Canis lupus familiaris: one gene and its partner. The protein of the gene in region 1 interacts with the protein of each later gene in a biochemical or structural test. Links are inferred from orthologs where the notes say so. Each region holds a gene or a part of one and is shown in the gene's direction. Other genes may lie near its edges.

Region 1 (10,915 bases):
CTTCCTACACAGATATAACAGGTACAAGCTAAACTGTAGTTTCCTTTTATCACCATGCAACTAACTGTCTGGGCTTGTAGCAGGCACCTTGAAAAGGTATCTTCAATCAGGACAAGTCAAAAGTTGAGGTTAAAAAAAAAAAAACAACTAACATATGATCTCATTTATATCCATTCACGCCAAGAATCTCCTAATCCATATAATTTGTTACCTATATTATGGTTGCTCTCTATTATATTCAAATTTATAAGGGGGAAATATTTTTTGGAGATATATTATCTATGTTAAACTTAGGTGCCACAGAAATTTCAAAGACGTATGAAGCATGTTTCTGAGCTTATAGCTTGACAGGGGAATAAACTATGGACACAAAAGCACAAAAGGAAAGCAGTAAAAATAAGAACTCTATAGAAGACTAAATAAAGCATAATCTGAGTTCATTTCTTGAGCCAGTTTTACAGAAAAGATAAGATTTCAATAAGCAGGGGAAAAGGAAAGACGGGAATGCCATACAAAGGAAAACCATGAACAAACGTGAGAGGGTGAAAAGATGTTTGAAGAACAGTAAAGATACCATAAAACAGGGAAATTCTGTGGAAATAAAGAAGCCAAGATGTGAAGAGCTTGGGGTTTTACTTTGAAGACAATATCCAGCTGCTGAAGACTTCTGAGCAATGACAGACTTGATAGGAAAGACATGGTATGCAGGCAGATTAGACATAGTACTACAGTAGTCCCATGTTCCTGAGCCCAGAACACTTAAGTTTGTAAGTCAATGTCAGCTTGCAGTTACCAAACTTCATGTATATATTTATTTATATATACTTATGTGTTTAAATATATATTTATATTATACATTATATTTATATTATATATGTACATACATGTATACATAACATAGAACTTCTACAGTGATTCTAGAGACTTGGACTTACACAATTCTTTCATTTTTCCTTCCTATTTTCACCTTAGGTAACAACTTCTGGCTTGGAATTTTTATTTCACCTTTCCCTGCCCAATCTTTGCATTAGTAAGACTCATCCTCATTCTTTGTGTATTAGCAAGATCAACAACATTATATATTATTGCTTAATCAGAAGAGCATTTAAAGCAATTTTTTAAATCCCATTTTGTTAAAGCAATTGTTTTCTATCACACACAATAAACTTCCCTCAAATTTCATATTTTATTTTCCAAGAGAAAGAGCACTTTTTCTTTTCTTGCAGACTACACCTAGGAAACCGAAACAAAATGAAAGGTTATTTATTATCCAGTGAATCTGTAATAGTTACTTCATAGAGTTTTTAACAGATTGGCTGCCATAAGTATCATGAAAACAGAAACTAACTGCTTTCTTTGCTTTGTGTGTGTAAACTAGGCCACATGTGAATGCCCCTCTTCTAGAAAAAAGACCAAACCAGGTAAGTTTTCAACATTTCATAGATTAAGGTCGTCTTATTCTGTTTGATTTCCCAAAAGAAGAGCTCTCATTATAAAGTATTAAGTTTCATTTAATACAAAATAGTCATCGGAAAGGTAACTTAGATTGCTGAAAGTCCTATTACATATGCCTTACAGAATATTAATGTGTGATCCCCAGTAGATCAAACTTATGAAAAGGTACAGAACAATAGATGGTAACTAAAAAAAAAAAAAAAAAAAGAGAAGAAAGAAGAGAAGAATTCATTTTGTTTCAAGAATTGCACAGGTTTAGGGACCCAGGATTAAGGAGAGGATGGTGTCCCAGTTTGCAAGAGAGCCTTGTCTCTGCTTCCATGACTCTCCATTTGAGTGCAAAAATGTTGCCACTTATCAGTGACCACTGGAACCTCTCCAACAGGCAGTCCAGCTTCCTACCCAGAGGAGCACTAAGCCAGCTGATTGGCTCAGGGCAATCAGACAACAGCCCTCAGCCCAGCAGCAGTCAAGGAACAAAGATTGGCGACCCGATACTCAGGAAGGAAAGGATGCAAACGAGGCGAGGGGTGGGGGAAAAGCACAGAATCAACCAATAGAGATGTCCTGAAAGACTCACCCACTCAAATAAAGAAATGCTTATACCTGGAGATATTTGGCCAGGGATGGATTTTTCTTTTTTTCTTTTTTAAAGTTAAACAAGGATAAAGGTTTAAAACCGTCACTGGAGGAGCCTAATTCGTATGAAAACACTTGGTAGCTGCTTCACAACTACCTTGAGTGGGCAAGGGACCTTTTTATATATATAACGTTTGGAAAATGGAGTTTATTCAATAAATCCATCAAAAGATATCCTGTTTCCTACAAACTGTACCTAATTTTAGGGTTCCTGCTTCACAGTGATTCCAGTTCTGCGTGAGATTTCAAACTGAAGAGGTACCGGGAGGGGTGCAGAGCCCATGAAATTTTTACAGCATGGAAATAAAAAGTATTTTTAAACCTTCTAAGGGGTGAAGAATTAGACAAGAAGCAATACGTGGAAACTGTCAAGTGCTTCTCTACACACACACACCCACCCACCCACCAGATACCATCGCAGCCGGGTAGGGGAGTCTCCCTCTCCTTGCCTGACAGCTTCACTTTCTTTGAGGTCTCGAGCTGGTGATCACACTGGCCCGTCATGGTATTTTCAGTTAACAAAGCAGTTACTCAACAGGGGAAAAAGCCACAAAGGAGCAGAGCAGCTGCTGCTGCACCCGTGATGCAAGTGCAGGATGAGCCCCGGGCCGCCACCGCCGCCTCGGCTCCTCCGTGACGTCCGGGAGGGGTATCCCCGGCTCTCAGGAAGCGGTGGCCGCGGGCGGCTCCGCCCCCACGCGACTCGGGCTGGCCGGGCCGCCGCGCGCCAGGGCTGCCCCGCGAGCTGGCAGGCGGCGGCGGCGGCGGCGGCGGCGGCGGCGGCGGCGGCGGCGGCGGCGGCGGCGGCGGCGGCGGCCGCGGCCGGCCGGCACCTGCGCGCGCACCCCGCGGGCCGCGCACCCCGCCGCCGCGCCCGCGCCTCGCCCTCTGCGCCCGGCCCGGCCCGGCCCGGCCCGCGCCCCCTCGCTCCCGAGGCTCTCACCCACTCACCCCGACCCCCTGCGCGGAGCCTGGCCCAGCGCCGCCGGTCACCAGACGGGGTCGAGCCGGGTCCAAGATGGCGACTCCGCCCCCGCCCCCGCCCCCTCCGCACCCCCGGCGGGGTCAGGGCGCCCCCTCACGCGGCGCGCTCGCGCCCGGGGCCCGGCTAAAAATACCCGGGCTCCACTATATTTGGTTCGGCCGGATCCCGGCGCGGCCGCGCGCACTCGGCCCCGCCCCCGCGCCGCGCCCCGCCCCCCGCGCCGCGCCCCGCCCCCTGCGCTCCGCCCCGCCCCGCGCAGCACTGAATGGAGAAAGGGGCGGGGGTGACCGAGGGGAACCTACTCCGCTATCTGCGGCGCGCGCCGGCGGCGAGGCCCGGCCAACCGCCCAATTTAGTAACATCGCCTGCGTCAATCACGCGCCTCCTGTGCGTCAGCGCCGCGCGGCTCCAGGTCCTGCTCCCCTCCACCCCCCCACCCCCCCCCCCCCCCCCCCCGCCACCACCAGCCTTTGAATGGATACAATGTAGCAGCGCCCTCCTTCCTTCCGAGACTGGATTGGAACCCGCGGCGGTGCACGGGCTCGGCTCCCCTCCGCGGGGTCAGCTCTCTCAGCATCCTCCCTCCCACGGTCTTCTCTCCACACCACCCTGCCTGAAGTGGAAGTGGGAGTCGAAGAAATATATCCGTGTCGTATATAGAAATAAAATTAGTTTTGTTTTCAAGTTTCTGGTGCTAATAACTCGAACCTTCTTCCATTCTGAACCGCATGCTGTCGACAATAGGATCCTCTCCCACCCACCCCCCACTGCAAAACACACACACACACACACACACATGCAAACACTGGGACGTGTCAAAGAAATAGAATATCACGTGTGATTTAAGCGGACCGCATGGAGACCATGCCTGTCTGCGACGTTGCACTCAACTATTTTATCCCCCTTAAGAATTCATATCTGAGAGAGGTTGCTTTTCACTCAGCTGCACTTTGGAACTAAGAGACAGACTTTAACTTTGATAAATTTTTGTTTCTGTTTGCAGCAAGAAATTCACACTTAAATTCATCATTTCCAGGAAGAAATTGCTCTCCTTCACACAGTCGCCCAAGCTTTCAGCACACCATTTCATGACAAATGTGTCCCAGTAGAAGAGAGCAAATCCCATGGCGAGGAACTGACTAATAAATCCTGTTGATTGATTTCGAAATGTTTAATTTGGGAGATTGGAGGGGGGGGCAACCATGAAAAAGTGAAAGTGCGAGCTGAGATTTCCATTTCTGCGGGGTGGGGGTGGGGGGAATGATTTGCAACAGTCAGACCCGGTCAGCTGTTCAACACGTGTGTGTTTGTTTTACACACATTAAGTAGTTTCTGCGGCAGCGCGCACGTGGATGATGGATGTGCACTCAGTTGGCTTATTGTGGGTCCAGTTAGGAAATCCACACCTTAGCATAAAGAAATAAAACCTTATCTTCCCGGAGGCATCTGCATCCCTGTGCGAAACACGCACTCAGCAAATGATGCGAGGAGGAGCTGGATTAGCCTAGACGCTGCGGGCCAGCGAGACTTAAACAGCCTTGGAACTGTTGCTTGAGGAAAGCGCAGCTGCATGCACCTCGGAGAGTCTTCGGGCCGGTGCCTGACTCCTGCACCGGCTGCCAGGTCACTCGGAGAAGCTGGCTGGCGGAGCCTTCCCTTTCGGAAGAGCTGTCCTCTCCCTTACCCCCTCTCCCTGGCTCCGTGCCTCGGGGCAGCCTCGGAGGCGCGCCAGCCGCACTCCTCCAACACTACTCCACCCGAGCCTGACAGCTGGGCGGTCCCGCCTGACCCGCCGGCGGGCCGCTGCACCCTCCGGCAGACTCGCGCCCTGGCGAGCAGCGCCGCTGCAGAGGGGTTGGCGGCTCGGCTCCCAAAGGCCCCCCTGCCGGGCTTGGCCGCGCGGCGCAGTTTCCATTGTGCAGCCCGGAGAATGGTCCGGGAACGCGCGCGCGCACACACATGCACACACACACGCACACACACACACACACACACCCTCCCTCGCACACGCGGAACCGGCTGGGCCAGGGGAGGGAGGGGGAGGGTGACGTAGCGTCCCATGGCGTCACATTGACGTCTCGCATTCCAGGCACTCTATGGAGAGGCCGCTAGGGCTCCTGTGGCATAAATGACGTGCCGAGAGAGCGAGCGAACGCGCAGCCGGGAGAGCGGAGTCTCCTGCCTCCCGCCCCCCACCCCTCCAGCTCCTGCTCCTCCTCCGCTCCCCACACACAGACAGGCTCACACCCGCTCCCTCACTCGCACACACAGACACGCGCGCACACAAGCTCCGCACACACACTCCACTCTCTCCCGCGCGCTCACACCCCTCTCGCCCTGCGCCCTTGCCGGTGCAGAGCCGCGCGGCAGCCGGACGCCCCTCCCGGACTCACTTTGCAACGCTGACAGCGCCGGCGGCGGCCTCGGAGGTGGGAACTGCGGCGGCATCCTGCCCCCGGGCCGTGGCCGCAGCCAGGACGCCCGCGGAACCCCTCGCCGGCACTCTCCCATGAGTCGGGATCGCAGCATCCCCTGCCAGACGCTCACCGCCTCTGGGAGCCGCTGGGCTGGTTCACGGCAGCCCTTCCGGGACAGCAGCTGTGACTCCCCCCCCAGTGCAGATTTCGGGGCAGCTCTCTAGAAACTCGCTCTAAAGACGGAACCGCCACAGCACTCAAGTACGTATGAGATTCGCCCAGTGAATTGGGGGACTTGCTAAAAAGTTGGCGCGCTGGGAAGCGTCGCTCCTGAATTGACAACTTTGAGTGTGGGTTTTTTTTTTTTTTCCCCCTCGCCTCCTCGCTCCGGCTTCGCTCGCCGAGCGGCCCGGGGGGTTCTGATCTGAAACTTTTCCCCTGTAGCGGGCCCGCGGGGACCTCTGGAGCTCGTGGGATTCCTCCCCCAACCCGAAGAGGCGAAAAGCCTCTAACAAAGAGGAGGACCGGGATTTGTTCAGTAGCAGCTCCAGCGATGTAATTCAGGGTATTTCGGCTCTAGTTGTCATGGTAATGATGCTCTCGGCGGCGGCGGCGGCGGCGGCGGCGGCGGCAGGGAGTTGCAGCTCCGCTGATGAACGGCAGTAATTTTCCTGCCTTTTAACTAGGATTGAAAACAGGGGCTCCGGTGGGTCCAAGTTAATATACCTAATGGTGACTCCCAGCCGGTTGACTCGGGGGAAGCTGGAGAGGGAAGGGGCCTGGGCAGCGGTGGTTGGAGTTTGCAAAGGCGCTCGGATGATCTCTGGAAAGAGGGCGTAATTGTAGGAATGTGGCTTTATTGTATTGAAATGAGCCTGGGGCTCCACTAGGCACGTCTGCCTGGCGTAGCCTACTTGCCCGTGTGCACTTTTCCCTTCAGAGGTAATAGGCTGTAATTGCTGACTCCCGAGCCCGGCCACGCGTGGGGATCGTGTTCCTTTCCTTCGGGCCTTGGCTTGGTGTGGGAATGTTTTACTCTTAAGTGACGGAACTCGCGCTTTTGGAGAAGTTGCTCCGAGTGTTTTACTCTTAATAAGAATAAATGAAAGTTCTCAGTGCTGCGGGGAGAGCGGTTATGAGAGCGCAGCCTGCGGACAATGACTTCCAAAGGCACCTCCCGAGCCGGTTGGAAGCTTGGGTCAGGACTAAGAGAGAAAGCGTTTGTCCCTTGATTCTAAAGGACGTTCCTGGAGATTGCCTTTTATTTAATGCCTTCGGATTCGTGAGAGGGAAGAGCGGCAAGGAGTTTGGTAATCAGAAATGTCGGGCTGTCATCCCAGAGCCTTAGGGTGCCAGGAGACAGAGGTAAAGGGCAAATCCGTCCTGGATCTTCTATTCCCACGATGGAGAAATATTTTACAGAACTGAGTTGGGGAAGCAAAAAGCTGCCCAACGCGGCTACCGGGCACAATGAATGAAGTCAGAGTTCCCTTGACTTATCTTACCTGTGCGAGGTGCTCCTAGCGTGAATATCAAAGACTCCTCCTCGGGCCAAGCCACCTCCACGCCGGCTCCCTCCCCAGCCCCCACCCCCCGCACCCACCCACTCCCTTCCCCGCGACCGCGCGCGCTCGCAGAAATTCTCCCCCGCGGTTTGTCTCCTCTCCCTCGGTCTTTCTGAGAATCTCTGTCTTTCCCTTTCTGTCGGTCTCTCCTTCACTCCTACGGCCCCCGCCCAACCTCCGCCCCCGCTCCCCAGGGTTGGAAACTCCGCGGAGGAGCCCCGGTCACAATGGTGCGTTTCACGGTTTCCTCCACACACTTCACCACGGGGAGGGGAACATGGGGGTGTTCCTTTCGTCTGCCCACGAGAAAGAAAGGAGCTTTGACAGAGGTGGTTATTTCTACCTAATTTACAACCCCAAGGCTCGGTGCTCCGGCCCCGGCGGCCGCGAGCGGGAGCGGCGGAACGTGTTTCCAGGCGCGGAGGCTTTGCCTAGGTAACCGGCCATGGGAGTGGGCGGGGGGGGGGGGGGCGTGGGGCTCTTGGCTCGGCTGTAGGAAACGTGGTGTGGCTCTTTCCCGCGAACACCCGGCGCTCGAGGGGAGCCCTTTCCTAGAGGAGACTCAACCCTCACCCGGCGGAGTCAGAGGCCGAACCTCGGAGAAAGGACCCAGGGGAGGGCAGGAGTGAGGGCACCTACTGCAGGAGGTGGTGGCAGGGTGCTGGAGACCTGTATTGAAAATTCGGGGCGGACGGGAAGCTCCTGCCACAGCCGTGGGAAGATCCGCGCGTGCTTGCGCTACAGCGAGCGCAAGATTTCCGTAGGATCATCTGGGGCAGGGCAGGGGCTGGGGGTGACAAGGGAATCCCCCGTTTCCTGGCTTTCGAGGGCTTACCGGACCTGGGGGTTCCGATGTCCCCTCCCTCTCTTCCTTCGGGCAAGCCCCTGGCGCAGGGGCGGAGGGGGACGAAACTTACACGCCCCTCTCGGCCCGCGCACCCCCGCGATTTTGGGGGGTTGTGTTTTGTTTTTTGGGTTGGTTTTGTGTTTTGTTTTGTTTTTGTTTTTTTTTTTCGGTTTCATGTTCCCAAGCCTCAAGATATGAACGGGTCCAGGCAAAGAGGGCGCTGTAGGCCAGAGTTTGGGGCAGCGGATCCTTTCCCCCGAGGCCCGCCGAGCTGCGCTTCCAGCTACAAAGTTTCGCTGAGCCTGGGCGCGGAGACGCTCGCCCCGGAGCCGCGCTCGGCGCCCTCCGGAATGTGCCCCCTCGGGGCCGCGGGATGGCCCCGAGCCTCGAAGTCGCCCACCCTCAGGGATACCTCCTGCTGGGTGCAAGGGGCCTCCCTCCGCCCACCCTACCAGCCTGGAACTCCAACTGCCTTGTCCCCTTGTCTCCAGCGCCGGCCTATTTCTACTGTGCCCTTTTGTTTGCTTGACCCCTGGCCCCCGAAACTCGCGGCTAATAGAAGCGAAGCTCCATTAGCATTTAGAATGAAAAGCGCAGACTTTCTTAATTCCTCGGGGCATTCACACATTCGTTCCGGACCTGGTGCATTTCCTATGCAACGTGTAAATTCTGTATTTGGGGAGGAGGGGGGACGGGCAGTGGAGTTGGAAAATGCGCCCTCACTGACCACACGAATTCCGTCGAAACTCTTCCTCAGGTGCCCCTTCTGTGGTTTTCCTGACTTAGCGAGCTCAGAGCCAATTGTGGGGACAGAGAGATCAATTGCTGGGCGATGACAGGATGCACGTATTTTTAGCCTAGGTTTGGGTGCCACAAAACGGTGGTGAGCGCAGTGGGTGCCTGACAACCTTTCTGTGGCTCCCCCCAAGGCGGCTGGTCGCTTCTGCCCAGGGACTCCGTTCACCTTAAGAACTGCTTCCTTACCCTTTTAATTCTTTGTAATCAACGTAGCATTCATAGAGACCCCCTACCAAACCACCCTCTCCTGATACGCCCAGCCCAGGCCACGACGACCACCAGCCTGGTCTCACTTTGAGCTCTGTCCTCTCTCCCGGTGCCCGCAGAGCCTACTGCGGAAGAGCGCAGTCCGGCAAGCCCTAGCCCTGAGCCTGGACCCTCCGCGGAGCCAGGCAGCACTGCCACCGCTTCCCCTCGCCGGACGTCTCCGCCTCCTACCCTCTCAGCCTCCGCTGGAGAGACCCACAGCCCCACCATTCAGCGCGCAAGATATCCTCCAGGTAGGTCTAAAGGCGCGACCCCTTATTCCTTCCAGGTTGGGAGAGGTGGGGGTTGGGGGGAGCCACGCACCCAGCAGGCAGGCTGTTCAACTTGCGCAGGGCCAGGACAGTGACTGCTGGCCACGTATTTCACAGCACAGGTGGCTTCTTTGCACGAAGCTCCTCTGGATACCACACCCTGTTGCTACCTAGTGGAGCAGCCAGATTAAATTACGCGTTGCATTTCTCAAAAATAGGTTTCCTAAGAAAAAAAATGTAATACGCCAAGAGATTAGGATCTTTCTATACATTTTAATGTCTTCATTTTTGCTCTCCTTTTATATCCAGTTCATAAATGTAAAAGTTATGGGATCGCTTTGAGCAATACAGGGCATTTATGTTTGTATAGAACCTAAATCATTTGATGCAGAAGTTTGGATTGTTGAAGCTCAGAGGAAAAGAGAAAAAGCATTTAAGCTGAAAACCAAGGAGTAAATTCGAGTTGGGCAAAAAGAGAGGATTGCAGGTTTGGCTTGTAACACCTCTTTATGCATTTCTTAAACAGATACCAAGTGCCTGGACTGTGTAGTCGCCAAAGATATGCATCTAAATAGAACTTAGTACCAAGCAAACTCATATTCTAGCTGGAAACCTAAGAAAGACACAAGGAAGAGTAATACATAGGGATTGGCAAGGAAAGATGACAGAAGACTGATGGAGAAATCCTAGAGGGGCTGAAGGAAGGAGAATAGATGGAACATTGGGCTGGGCCGTGTTCTTTCTTTTAAATATTTAGCCTTTCATTTCACCCCAACAACAGGACAGCAGGATAACTAATCCTTGACCTTCAAACTAGTGTTTTTAAGGCCCTTCTTGGAAAGTGAAGGCTTGAACTGGCCTCTCCTTATCACTGCTTCTTCCAACAGGCCCTCATCACCTTTTTTCAAGTCAAGATTTCATCCCATACACGCATGACTCAATCAGATTTGGAAATGTGGGTAAGAGAAAGATGTCAAAGGAAATGTGAAGTACACACTTTTTTTTTTTTTTATTAGTCACATCTTCTATACCATAGACTCCAAACAGAGGTTAAGCACCTGCTGTTCCTTTGGTTCAGAAAAACCAACCACTAGCAACTGCCCATTTTATCATTTCTAGTTAGCCATAGAGAAAGGGAAATAATTAGATAAAATCAGATCCAATAATTCTCAAAGCCTTCTCATCCAACTCAACCTCTCTGAACAATAATAAGCATCCTGGATACTAGCCCCTTTTGGTGGCTCAACATACAGTCAACTGGAAGAAAAACTAAACCTATTAAGGAACTGCTTTCTTTTGTAGAGGTACTAATTCTTCTGTCATAAGAAAAATTGTAGGCTAACTCACCTATTACAGTAGCTGTAAACTGTTGTCTTAAAACAGCCACTGATATATTTGATTAGTCAGAATTAGAATATATATATATATATATATATATATATATATATATATATATATACTGTATATGGCAGAGACCACGTTTGGTGGGTGTTTTGTTGCAGCTGCTGATCTTTTTCTTTGCAGATGGCACAAACTCCCCCGAGTCCATTTCCTGGGCCTGTGTTCCCACCCCTCCACCTAGCTGGCTGAAGTCATCAACAGGGGTCCAGTTTGTGTAGGCTGTTAGCTGTGTTTGGAGAAATGGGGAGGGGGTGGGAGAAAGCGACCACAACGTGTGTGGGTGGGCTCAG
Region 2 (10,815 bases), on another chromosome or scaffold:
GTTTACTGTCCGGGGCGACAATTGCTCGGAGCGCGGGTCCCCGGAGGCTAAGGCGGGGGGCGGGGGCGCAGGGAGGGAGCAGTTGTTGTTGTTGTTGTTGTTTTTCATTCAAAGGAAAGTAATCGGGGTCCTTGAAGGGCTTCGCGGCCTCCCCGCCTACGTGCTGCACTCCCCTGCGCCCTCCTCGGCCGCCCGCGCCAAGCGCCTCGGATTGTAGCTTGCGGGGAGGCCCAAACCGCGGGCTGCCGGGCCAGCCCCCGCCCCCCGAAGTCCTGGGGGCCCCCCAGGACAAACTGGCCTCACGGAGCCGAGCAAGGCCGAGTGGGTGCAGCTGCTCCAACCGGGAGGCTTGCGGACCTCTTGGCTTTCCGGGTAACGGCAAGCAAGGACTGAGTCTCTCAGGCACCTCTCCGGGTGGAGTTGAGACTGCTGGGGTTGGGGCTGATTTTGTAAATCAACGCCCAGTAGGTCCTCGTAGGAGAAACACACTCTCCAGCTCAAGCGCCCTTTCTCCCCGCACCACCTGTACGCAGTCTTGCCAGTTAGTTGCCTGGCCCAGGATTAAAGCAGACGCGGTGGTGGCAATTTTGTGACCTCGGACTGTACGGGCTCCAAACCCCAGATCCGGAAGTCGGAGCGGCCAGGGGGGCCCCGCGGGCTGACCCGTTCCTCCCAAACTCCTCCACTCTCTGAGAGATCCAGGGTGCTGGCGCCCCCCCGCGCGCCACCCCTCCAGACGTCCCCCAGCTCAGCTCAGCCCTCTTCCCTCGCGCTACCCAGTGCTTCGGGCCCCCAGAGCGGCGGGCAAGGCGCCTGGGCCCCGGAGCCCGAGGTCCTTCTGCTCCGACGCCCCTCCCCAGCGCCCAGCGCCTGGGAATTGGGGAGAGGAAGCTCTGGGGCTCCGGAGCCCCCTCCCCCACTCGGCCCGCGCTCCTTGACCGGGACCCACGGAGCCTGCGCTCCCGGCTCCACCCGGAGCCAGTCCGGCCATCCGCACCCACCGAAGGCCGGCCGCCCCGCCTCCCCCTCCCGGCTCTCGGGACGCTCCACTTACGCGCTCCCGGCGGCGGGCGTCGTGCTTCGGGCCCGGAGCGGAGCGGAGAGGCGCCGGCGGCCGCGGGGCAGCGCGGCGGGCTCCGTGGGCGGCGCGGGGCTCGGTTGCGCGGGGCGTCTCTGACAGCCCGGGGCTGGCCGCCCGCCCCGCCGCTCCCGGCCCCGTCCCAGCGCACAACGCTGCGCGCCCCGCAGCCGCCCTCGGCCCGGCTTTGCACGCCCGAGTCGCCGGCGGGGTGCGGCGGGGTGCGGCGCGTCGGCAGGCGCCCCGGCCGGGGCTGGGGCCGGGGGTGTCGCCGAGCGGAGGCTCAGCCCCACCGGCCTCACTTCTCCCCGCGCGGCGACGGTTTTCAATTTCAGCACTTTCGGCGGAGCCCGCGGCACCTGCCCAGCCTCCCTCCGGGGTTGGCCCGGCGGCGAGCGGCGGGGAGAGGCCGGGTCGCCCCCACCCGGAGGCGGGGGTTGTGGGGACGGGGAGGGGACTGGCTGGGTTCACCCGCCCGCCCGGCGCCTGGGTCCTCGGCTCCAGGGGATGCAGTTTCGGGGGTCACGAGCTGCTTTCAAAAAGTTGAACACAATATTCGGAAACCCACCCGTAGGAATTCTACCCCCATACGCGGCACAATACCCACTCCCTCCCCTTTTTCATTCCTTCCTCCCCCGCTTCCTCCTCCTGCCCCTTCCCCCTCCCACCCCTCAGCCTATAATCCTTCCCCTGCGAGAGAAAGGGATCGGGAAGAAAAGATGAAGCGTCTGTTTTTGTGTCCCAACCTTAGGGCTCTTTCTGGGCCGGCTGTGCACGACCGCCCAGAGCTTCGAAGCTGAACGGAAAAGGACTCACGGTTGGGAGCAAGATACTTGGAGGGGAGAGATCACCCGAAGTGGGCCTTGGCGGGTCTTCCCTTTGAGCGAATATTTCCCTGCCTCCGTCACTGGGTTTAGGACCGGGGACCCTCGGCTTCCAGGGGTGACGCTGGGATGGGGGGCCCATGAGGCCCCCTGGCCCAGCCCAGAGCCTCTCTGCCAGAGTGGAGCATCCATCACAGCTTGCACTTCTCTGCCCAGGAGGCCTGGCTCTGCGGGAGTCAAGGCCTAAGCAGGGCCCGAGCTCGGGGTTTAGGGGTGGGACACTCACAGCCCCAGTCACGTTAGGTTTCCCATTTAAATTCTCTCAATCTCTTTCTCTCCTCCCTCATTGAGATCTCCAAAGTGGTGTGGACTCGGTGCCTCGCCCCCAGATCTGCATCGGAATGTAGAAAAGATCTTTTTTTTTTTTTTTTAAAAAGAGTTTTGAATTCCTCAATGATTTTTCTTCTGGAAAGGCAGCTTAGGATAATTATTTCAGCTTTATTGAGGGCAGATTAGTTGAAGTCTGGACGCTGCGTTTCAATACGCGTTGTACACGGGCCGACAATGTGGGCATTGTTGGCTACTGTGTGTGAACTCATTCAAAATATACACTTTTTAACACCAAACCGAGTCCTGTCTAAATATACACAGTGCTCAGGGGAAAGACGTCTCTGACCCCGACAAATCTGCGTAAATCACACTTCCATAGTTACAGAAGCCTCACAAAGGGAGGCCCCGCTAAAGATGCTGATTACATCTTCTTAAAAGCAACATACCTTAGAATAAATACCCATACCGGCCCTGGGTGGGGGGAGAGTAAGGGGGGGGGAGGGTTGCAGTGGCCAGAGGGAGGGAGGGAGGACTCTCTCTCTATTCTACGGGCCTTTGGCGGTCTGTTTTAGGCTTGTCACATTACTTTGCCTAGATAAATTAGTTTTATTATTTTTTTCTTTACAATATGAGCAAACACGTAATGTTCAGGCCTATCTGCTTCTTTGGAGAAGCCTCCATAAGTTTGAGTGTCCTTCTGGGGCTGGTAGGCAGATCCAGAGCTCTTTGGAGGAGTAGAAGTAGCGAACATGTCAGGGGGCTCCAAAGGGTTCCAGACTTGTCAGCTCCCAGGGGACACAGCTGAAGCCTAGGGGGGAAATAAAGAGGTGGCTTGCTTTTCAAGGTGAAAACAAGAAGTGTACTGTTATTTTAAAATACAGGGCAATAGTAGAAATCAAGACTTCTTGACCGGGGCAGAGTAAAGAGAAGCGGGTAGAAGCCAGTGCAGATGAAAGTGGGATAAATGTGGACAACGATTGAGGCCGAGAGAGACCAGAGCGGCTTCTGACACCCTGGGTCCTGGCCTCTCGCTCTCAGGCGTTAGCTACCCCTCGAAATTCGGGATCCCGGGAGCAGCAGACAGGGTCAGTGTGTGGTGGGCCCCATGATCTCATCTCTTCTTTCTTCCTCGCCACTATTAGTGCTCACATAGGCAGAAAGAGGCGGCCCGACGTGCACACCATGTGCAAACGGTGCCTGCTTGGCCGGCCCTCGGCCCTCGGCGTCTTCTTGAGGGCTGGCCTTCGGCCTTCATGCGGCGTGGGGAGCCTCTTACATCCCAACAAAATCCCCCCTTTAATTGCTCATCCCATTCAACAACTCTAGGTCCATGGCCTTTTGAATTTCTGGATCAACTTCTTTGGGGAAGAGGGAAAAAGGGAGCTCAGAGACATGGGGAGGGGAGAGAGAGAGAGAGCGAGAGCGAGAGAACGAGCGAGGGAGAGAGAGAGAGATAGATAAAGAGGGGGAAGTGGCGAGATTAAGAGTTGCAAAGATTAAAAAAAAAATCTCTTTCTCCCCCTTCTCCCTCTTTCCCTCCTCTCCCCCTCCCCCCTACTCTGGCTAAGTGGTAAAACCGTCCTTACGTTCTCGGTATTGATTGGCAGGGCTGACAGTGATTGGCAGCGGTTGCCGTGGCAACGCCACAACGACACGCCGCAGACCAATAGAAAAGCGAAACAAAATGTTTCAATGCTGCACTCACTGTGGATTTAGGGGAGATATTATGAGGCTGTTGTCATTAGGGCGATTGCTGTGGAATCGCTGAATCTTGACTCGGCGGTGGTTGGCTCTCGCTCTCCTCTTTCTCTCCCTCTCCCTCTCCCTCTCCCTCTCTCTGTCTCGGGTTCTCTCTCTGCGCGCGCGCACCGGGCCGCTCTCCTTCCTCCCTCTCTATGTGGCTGCGCGGGTGTGTGTGTGTGTGGATGTGTGTGGGGTGTGGGTGTCCCTTACGCCCTTCCTCCTCCCCCTCCTCCTCCTCCCGCTCCCCCCTCCTTTCCTTCTCCTCCTCCCCCCTCTCCTCTCCCTCCTCCTGGTCCTCATCGCCCCTCTCCTCCTCTTCCTCCCCTCTCTCTTCCTCTCCCTGAATTTTCTCCTCTCCTCTCAGGTCAGTCCATGGTATTCCGCTCCCCCCTAGACCTCTATTCCTCCCACTTCTTGTTGCCAAACTTCGCCGATCCTCATCACCGCTCCCTACTTCTGGCGAGTAGCGGCGGCGGGAACGGTGCGGGCGGCGGCGGCGGCGGCGGCGCGGGCGGCGGCGGCGGCGGCGGGAACTGTGCGGGAGGCGGCGGTGCTGGCGGAGCAGGCGGCGGCGGCGGCGGCGGCGGCGGCTCCAGGGCCCCCCCGGAAGAGTTGTCCATGTTCCAGCTGCCCACCCTCAACTTCTCGCCGGAGCAGGTGGCCAGCGTCTGCGAGACGCTGGAGGAGACGGGCGACATCGAGCGGCTGGGCCGCTTCCTCTGGTCGCTGCCCGTGGCCCCCGGGGCGTGCGAGGCCATCAACAAGCACGAGTCGATCCTGCGCGCGCGCGCCGTGGTCGCCTTCCACACGGGCAACTTCCGCGACCTCTACCACATTCTGGAGAACCACAAGTTCACCAAGGAGTCCCACGGCAAGCTGCAGGCCATGTGGCTCGAGGCGCACTACCAGGAGGCCGAGAAGCTGCGCGGCCGCCCGCTCGGCCCGGTGGACAAGTACCGCGTGCGCAAGAAGTTCCCGCTGCCGCGCACCATCTGGGACGGCGAGCAGAAGACGCATTGCTTCAAGGAGCGGACTCGGAGCCTGCTGCGGGAGTGGTACCTGCAGGACCCCTACCCCAACCCCAGCAAGAAACGCGAACTGGCGCAGGCCACCGGCCTCACCCCCACACAAGTAGGCAACTGGTTTAAGAACCGGAGGCAGCGCGACCGCGCCGCGGCGGCCAAGAACAGGTCAGTGGCGGGCCCGCGGCCTGGCTACCGTCTCCGGGGGGCCGCGGAGCGGGGGGAGCGGGGCTGAAACCGGGGCGGAGGGGGCGGAGGGGGCGGGGGGCCGGGGGCCGCCGGGCGCGCGAGCAGCCGCGACCCCCTGGCCAGTTGGAGAAAGTTTCCGCTGGCCCAGACGCGCAGAAGAGGGCCGGGCGGCGGGCTTATGGACTTCTTTGTCGGAGAGGGGCTTTCGGCAGGGTGGAGAGTGTGGGGGTGTGAGGTCCCGAGCGCCCGTCCACAGGCCCCCCCGGTCCCAGCCCCGGGAGCCTTGGCCCCGCGCTGCACCCGTGCCACCTCCGCAGCCCGTGCCCGGCTCCGCACTCCCCTGCAGCCTGCAGACAGGGAAGGGAGGAAAGCCGTCCTTGCCAACCGGTTCTTATTATTATGCATTGCAAAAACCCGGAGAGGAATCCACGAAGTCACGGAAAGGAAACTGAACAGTGGGGTCTCTGCCACAAAGGGAAAAAAAGAAAGGTCGCTGGCCACTGTGGAGCAGGCCTCTTTCCCTCAGTTTTGCCAATTGCCTGAGTGGGAGCAGGAAAACCAGGCGGGGAAGTAGAGAGGCCTTGTGTGTGTGTGTGTGTGTGTGTGTGTGTGTGTACACGAGCACACAGGTGCTAGCCCTCCTGCCCCAGTCAAGGAGCATCCCCTTGGTCCACTAACTTGGGAAGCCAGGAGGAGCAGGAGCAAACCCACTGCCAGCAAGTTGGCCACAAAATCATAAAGTTGTCTGGGCTTCACCAGTCAGCGCACTTGGGCCTGGGGGAAGGTAAGGAGAAAAAGAACTAAGAGGGAAAGAGGAGGAGGAAGGGGCGAAGAATGGGAGGGAAGGGGGAAGGAAGTGGGGTAGAAGCCCTGGTGAGAAGCCCGCGCCCCTACCTAGCCTGCGCAGGCGCTGGGCCTGGTGTACGGCAGGGAGCAGGGCCCCAGCTGCTGACAGCTGCCAGGGGCTGGAGGCCAGGGCTGAGTTCCTGGAGTGAGTGAGTGTGTTTGCGTTCAGGTGGCCCAGGCCTGAGCCCTAGGCCCTCTCACCCGTGCCCGCCGAGCCAGTTTTTCGTCTGAGAGGGGGAGTGCCCAGGACCAGGGCAAGGCCTCCTTGTGGGAACTCAGAGACTAGGCTCCGGCAGCAGCTGCCTGGTGCGGGGAAAGGGGAAGACGGAGACTGCTCTGCACACCCCCCTCCTGCCGCCTTCTCTCTCCTTTCTCTCTTGCACCTCTTCCCCACTTTTTCCGCTTCCGGCTTCTCCGTTCTCTCTAGCCCTGCTCCTGCGCTCAGCACAGGGAGCCAGAGAGCAAAGCCAGCGGGTCCTACTGGGGAGAGGCTGCGGGTGAGCAACCCACAGCTCTGGGTGTGTTGGGGGAGCTGGGGCGGGAGCCACTGTGGCCACCCGCCGCTGGGCCACCCGGTTCAGTCTGAAGAGTCCCCGGGGCGGGAGAGCAAGAAGCACCCTGTCCCTCTCGGACTTGGGCATCTTGGGGCTCCGAGTCCTGCGCTGTGCTCCCGGGGCCTCCCCAGGAGGCCGGCCTCGGGTCCTACCTCTCCTCGGAGGCCGGCTGCGAACTGGGAAGCCTTGGGGAGCCCCGAAGAGCCCCGGGAAGGAGAGAAGAGAGCCCAGACCCGCGCTGGGGGGGGGGCTTTGCGGCGTTCAACGAGTGGTGGGGTGCTTGGAGGCAGGGGAAGGGGGCGAGAAATGAGCGCAGGGAGCCGAGTCGGGGTGGTGGCGGAGGGCGCGCGGCTGGGGAGGCTGGGAGGCTGGGGAGCCCGGCGGCCGCGGGCGCGGGGAGGCGGCTTGACGAGCCCGGTGGCGGAGCCGCCGTGTCAGGGCTGGTGCGGCTCTCTGTCTCCCGCAGGCTCCAACACCAGGCCATCGGACCGAGCGGCATGCGTTCGCTGGCCGAGCCCGGCTGCCCCACGCACGGCTCGGCAGAGTCGCCGTCCACGGCGGCCAGCCCCACCACCAGCGTGTCCAGCCTGACGGAGCGCGCGGACACCGGCACCTCCATCCTCTCGGTAACCTCCAGCGACTCGGAATGTGATGTATGATAGCCAAGGCCGCCCTCCTCCCCCTCCCCCTCCTTCCCCTCCTCCTCCTCCTCCTCCTCCTCCTCCTCCTCCTCCTCCTCGCCCTCCTCCTCTTCCTCTTCTTCCTCCTCCATACCCAGAACAAACCGAAATCAGGATACACAATCATACACACACACACACACACACAAGTACACACACACACACACTTCCACCCCAGCCAAAAATATATAAAAAACCAAGAAAAATAACAAATTAAACGCAAACTATCAACAACCCCAACCACCATCTACCACCACGGCCACCCCAAAGGACCGCGACGCCAACAGACAGTTACAAACGCTGATGTTGCGGGCAGAAAACATAAAAGAGGTGACAATTGTATACTTTCTAGGACAAGCACGGCTTCTCCTTTCGGTTCCCACGGACCCGGCACCCCACCTGCATGACGATTTATTTGTATCTGGGAAAATATTCTCTCTAGTTTAAAACGATTTAAAAAAGAGTCGACTATACAAAAACCGACCACCACCACGACGACAAGACGACAAAAGCAAAACAGACAAAAAGAGAAAAAAAAAATAAAACCGCCATCTCCGTTCAGAATTTGTTAAAAAAAAAAAAAAAAAGAACTCCTCGAGAGGGAAATAGCAAATGTTTCTCGCCTTTTGTTGCTCGCTCTCTCTTTTTTCCTCTCTCGCTCTCTTTCTTTCTCTGTTTTTAAGTCCAAGTATTGGTCAAACAAGATGCAATCTTCTGTTTTTTGTTCAGCAGACAATCATTTTCTTCGTAAGCACCTTTTTCTCTCCACTCTGTCACTGCCTGTGTGGGTACTGGTTATAAATGTGGAAAAAGAATAGTTATGACTGTAACAGATTTTTATTTTTATTTCAAAATTTTATATGAATTATGTATATCTTAATGATCGGTCATTTTCCCAGTTTGTAATATATGTGTAGAAATTGCCTGTATATGATATTGCTTTTTCTCCTCTTCCTTTTTCATTCTCTTCCCCCCCACCCCCTGCCTCCCTCCCCGCTCACCTGTCTCTTTCCTTTTTGGGGTTCCCCTCCCACTCGGTGTTCCTGGCGTCGACTTGGCAGTCAAGGCGTGGCGTGGCGGGCTGGGTTAGGACGAGGGACCCCGTCGCTAGCGGAAGCGGAGAGTGAGTCCGTAGTATTCTTATGCAAAAGCTATTTCAAGTATTTCTTAGCTGCTTTGGAGATATCTCTCACTCCCCGTAGGGCGCTTTTACTGTTATCTTAACTGCGTGTTTATCTATATGTAAAAACTTTCTAAAGCAAATACAGTATTCTCCATTTTCTTATCACTCCCCGAGACTGGTATTTTTGTTCGAGCAGCGCCCGGCCTTCACTTCCACTCCGACTCCCTGCGCCACTCGAGCTGGGGCAGCATTTTAAGGCTGGGTAGGAGCTTTTCCTTGGAGATGGTGGGGGTGTGGGTGGCGGGGGAGAGATGGGAACAGGCCCTCCGGAGGAGAACCGGAGCCAAATCTGGAACGAAAGGCTCCGAGGGCGCAGAGGGGAGGGGGGCTCCCGCCGGTTTCTTCAGAAGGAGATGCCAGGCCGAGATCCGCATGAATTCTAGCCTGCTGCGGCCCTGTGGGTCTTTGGGGGGGTGTGTTTGGCATCTTCTGGTTGTTGTTGTTGGATTTTGTGTGTGTGTGTTTTTAAGGGTAAACACACAAGGTCATCAAACCAACAATCCACCTATCCAGAGCAGAGTTGACAGGTTTTGTCTTCTTTTTGCCCAAGTGGAGTTGGGGGCAACCATAGTGGCCAGGGTAGGGAGGGTAGAGAGAGCGAAGAAAGAGGTAGTGCAAGGAGTTTAGGGCCTACAGCTGGGGCGGGCTTTCTCCTCACCACTCCTGCTTTGGGTCTGTGTGACTGTATTACTTGCCTTACGGATCTTGATCCTTGAGGATCAAAAATCCTTGAAATTTCTTCCCGTCTTTTGGGGATCAACTGGAGTCTCTTCCAGCTCCTAAGACATTTTCAGGGCTGATTTACACTTTAAAATGAAAACCAAAAAAAAAAAAAAAAAAAAAAAACACCACAGCCTTTGGCTAACCAGGTTCCCACTAGCCCCAGGCCTCCCTGCCCTGCCGGCGGGGCCCCCACATTTCCCCCTGATGGAGTGGCTGACCGCGCCCCTGCCGCTCTGGGCCAGGCCAGCCTGAGCCGGAGGAGCCAAAGAGGTAATTTCAGAAAACTTGCCTTCACTTGAAAAGTCCAATTTCCAAAGGGAGGAGGATTAGGGAGAAACGTGCATGGAATTTCGCGCTGGTTCCAAACTAATTTTGACTTCCGATTTCCTTTTGTCCCCATCTCCAGTCTCTCCGTGAGGTTTACACAGGGCCTGGCCAGGCAGAAATGCCGCCAGGCCCAGAGGTGCCCTGTGCATTCAAGTGGGGCCTGGTGTACCCAGGGTGAGCTTGCCTGGAGGGGAAGGTTTCTGTGTGCGTCCTTACTTAGATCCAGGGCATTCAGATGACCTGAGAGCTTCCAAGTTCTGAGGCCTGGCACACTGCGTCAGAATCTCTGCATGCATTCTCTGCCTTGGAAAACATTCCTGGTGATGCCACGTTTCAGGCAACATTGACCCAGGTGGCAGGAATTTGGGAAGGGGCTGCTGGCTTCTCCCCAGATCGAGCCAATGTTCTGGTGCATAGAATGCCTTGGATGCCAGGCTCTGTCCTCTTACCTGCACTTTAAAATGTATGGTTCATACTTGCCCCAGAACTTGGGCCTGCAATCCAAAGGGGCCCAAGGGGCTGGAGGGGCTGCCTCAGACAGTGTAAAGATTCTGGATGGACCCTACCCAACCGGCTACCTAGAATTGATGGGTGGAAGGACAGGGGTGGCACTGCTGGAGAGTGACTGTTGGGAGGTCTTTGATTGGTAAACTAGGGAGCAGATACCTTTCTGTCCTGGGACAGAGGACAAATTTGTGAAGTTGAAATGCCTCCTTGTCTCAACATACCAGAGAAAGAAAGCAAGTTTGTAGTATCCAGTACCCTTTCCTCTCGCTCCACTTCAGAAAACAGGCTATCAGACACCACAGCAACCTTCAGCGTTGGGGGGCCTAGGTTCAGTTGGGTGGCCACCAGCCTGCTACCTGTCTGTCTTGCTATCTATCATCCATCACTCTCCCTCATCCCCTATGTTTCTACTCAGGTCTGTGCAAATACCAATACTCTATACTCTGCACTTTCTGACCTTCCCTACAGATTCCCTGCAGGAGAAGTATGAGTGCTTGTGGTGAGTGGTGTAGATGTTTGCAATTCCAAATGCTGGGCTTCCACATGTGATCAAGGTCTACATATAAAGGTGTGTGTGTGTGTGTGTGCATGTGCGTGTGATGTTTGTTATACATGTGTGTATAGTGCATCGATGTGTGTCCAGTATGTGTTTTCTTTTATATTGCCTGTAAGGCAATTATTTGCATGTAGCTTGGGCAGTTTATATTTACCTAGTTCGTCAAGAGGCGGCTCTGGTACTATAGGGTGCTGTGTGTACAGGGCCTTTCTGTGCAGTGGACACATGTTTTGTGGATGTCCATTTGGGTGGA

Evidence for each region.
Region 2: the proteins of NR4A3 (region 1) and SIX3 form a complex in vitro, tested with the Homo sapiens proteins (3 studies listed by BioGRID). The link is inferred for Canis lupus familiaris from reciprocal best matches to the Homo sapiens genes NR4A3 and SIX3.

What each region holds. Positions count from the first base shown.
Region 1 is NC_049232.1:57,139,051-57,149,965, forward strand, and holds the start of NR4A3 (nuclear receptor subfamily 4 group A member 3), read left to right. Parts: upstream 1-5,298; 5' UTR 5,299-5,757; intron 5,758-7,313; exon of another isoform or gene 7,314-7,496; intron 7,497-7,553; exon of another isoform or gene 7,554-7,821; intron 7,822-9,032; 5' UTR 9,033-9,206; intron 9,207-10,111; 5' UTR 10,112-10,183; intron 10,184-10,915. UniProt on the Homo sapiens protein: Transcriptional activator that binds to regulatory elements in promoter regions in a cell- and response element (target)-specific manner.
Region 2 is NC_049231.1:48,393,562-48,404,376, forward strand, and holds part of SIX3 (homeobox protein SIX3), read left to right. Parts: exon of another isoform or gene 1-1,015; intron 1,016-1,054; exon of another isoform or gene 1,055-1,116; intron 1,117-4,339; coding exon 4,340-5,165; intron 5,166-7,052; coding exon 7,053-7,212; coding exon of another isoform or gene 7,213-7,245; exon of another isoform or gene 7,246-7,264; intron 7,265-10,815. UniProt on the Homo sapiens protein: Transcriptional regulator which can act as both a transcriptional repressor and activator by binding a ATTA homeodomain core recognition sequence on these target genes.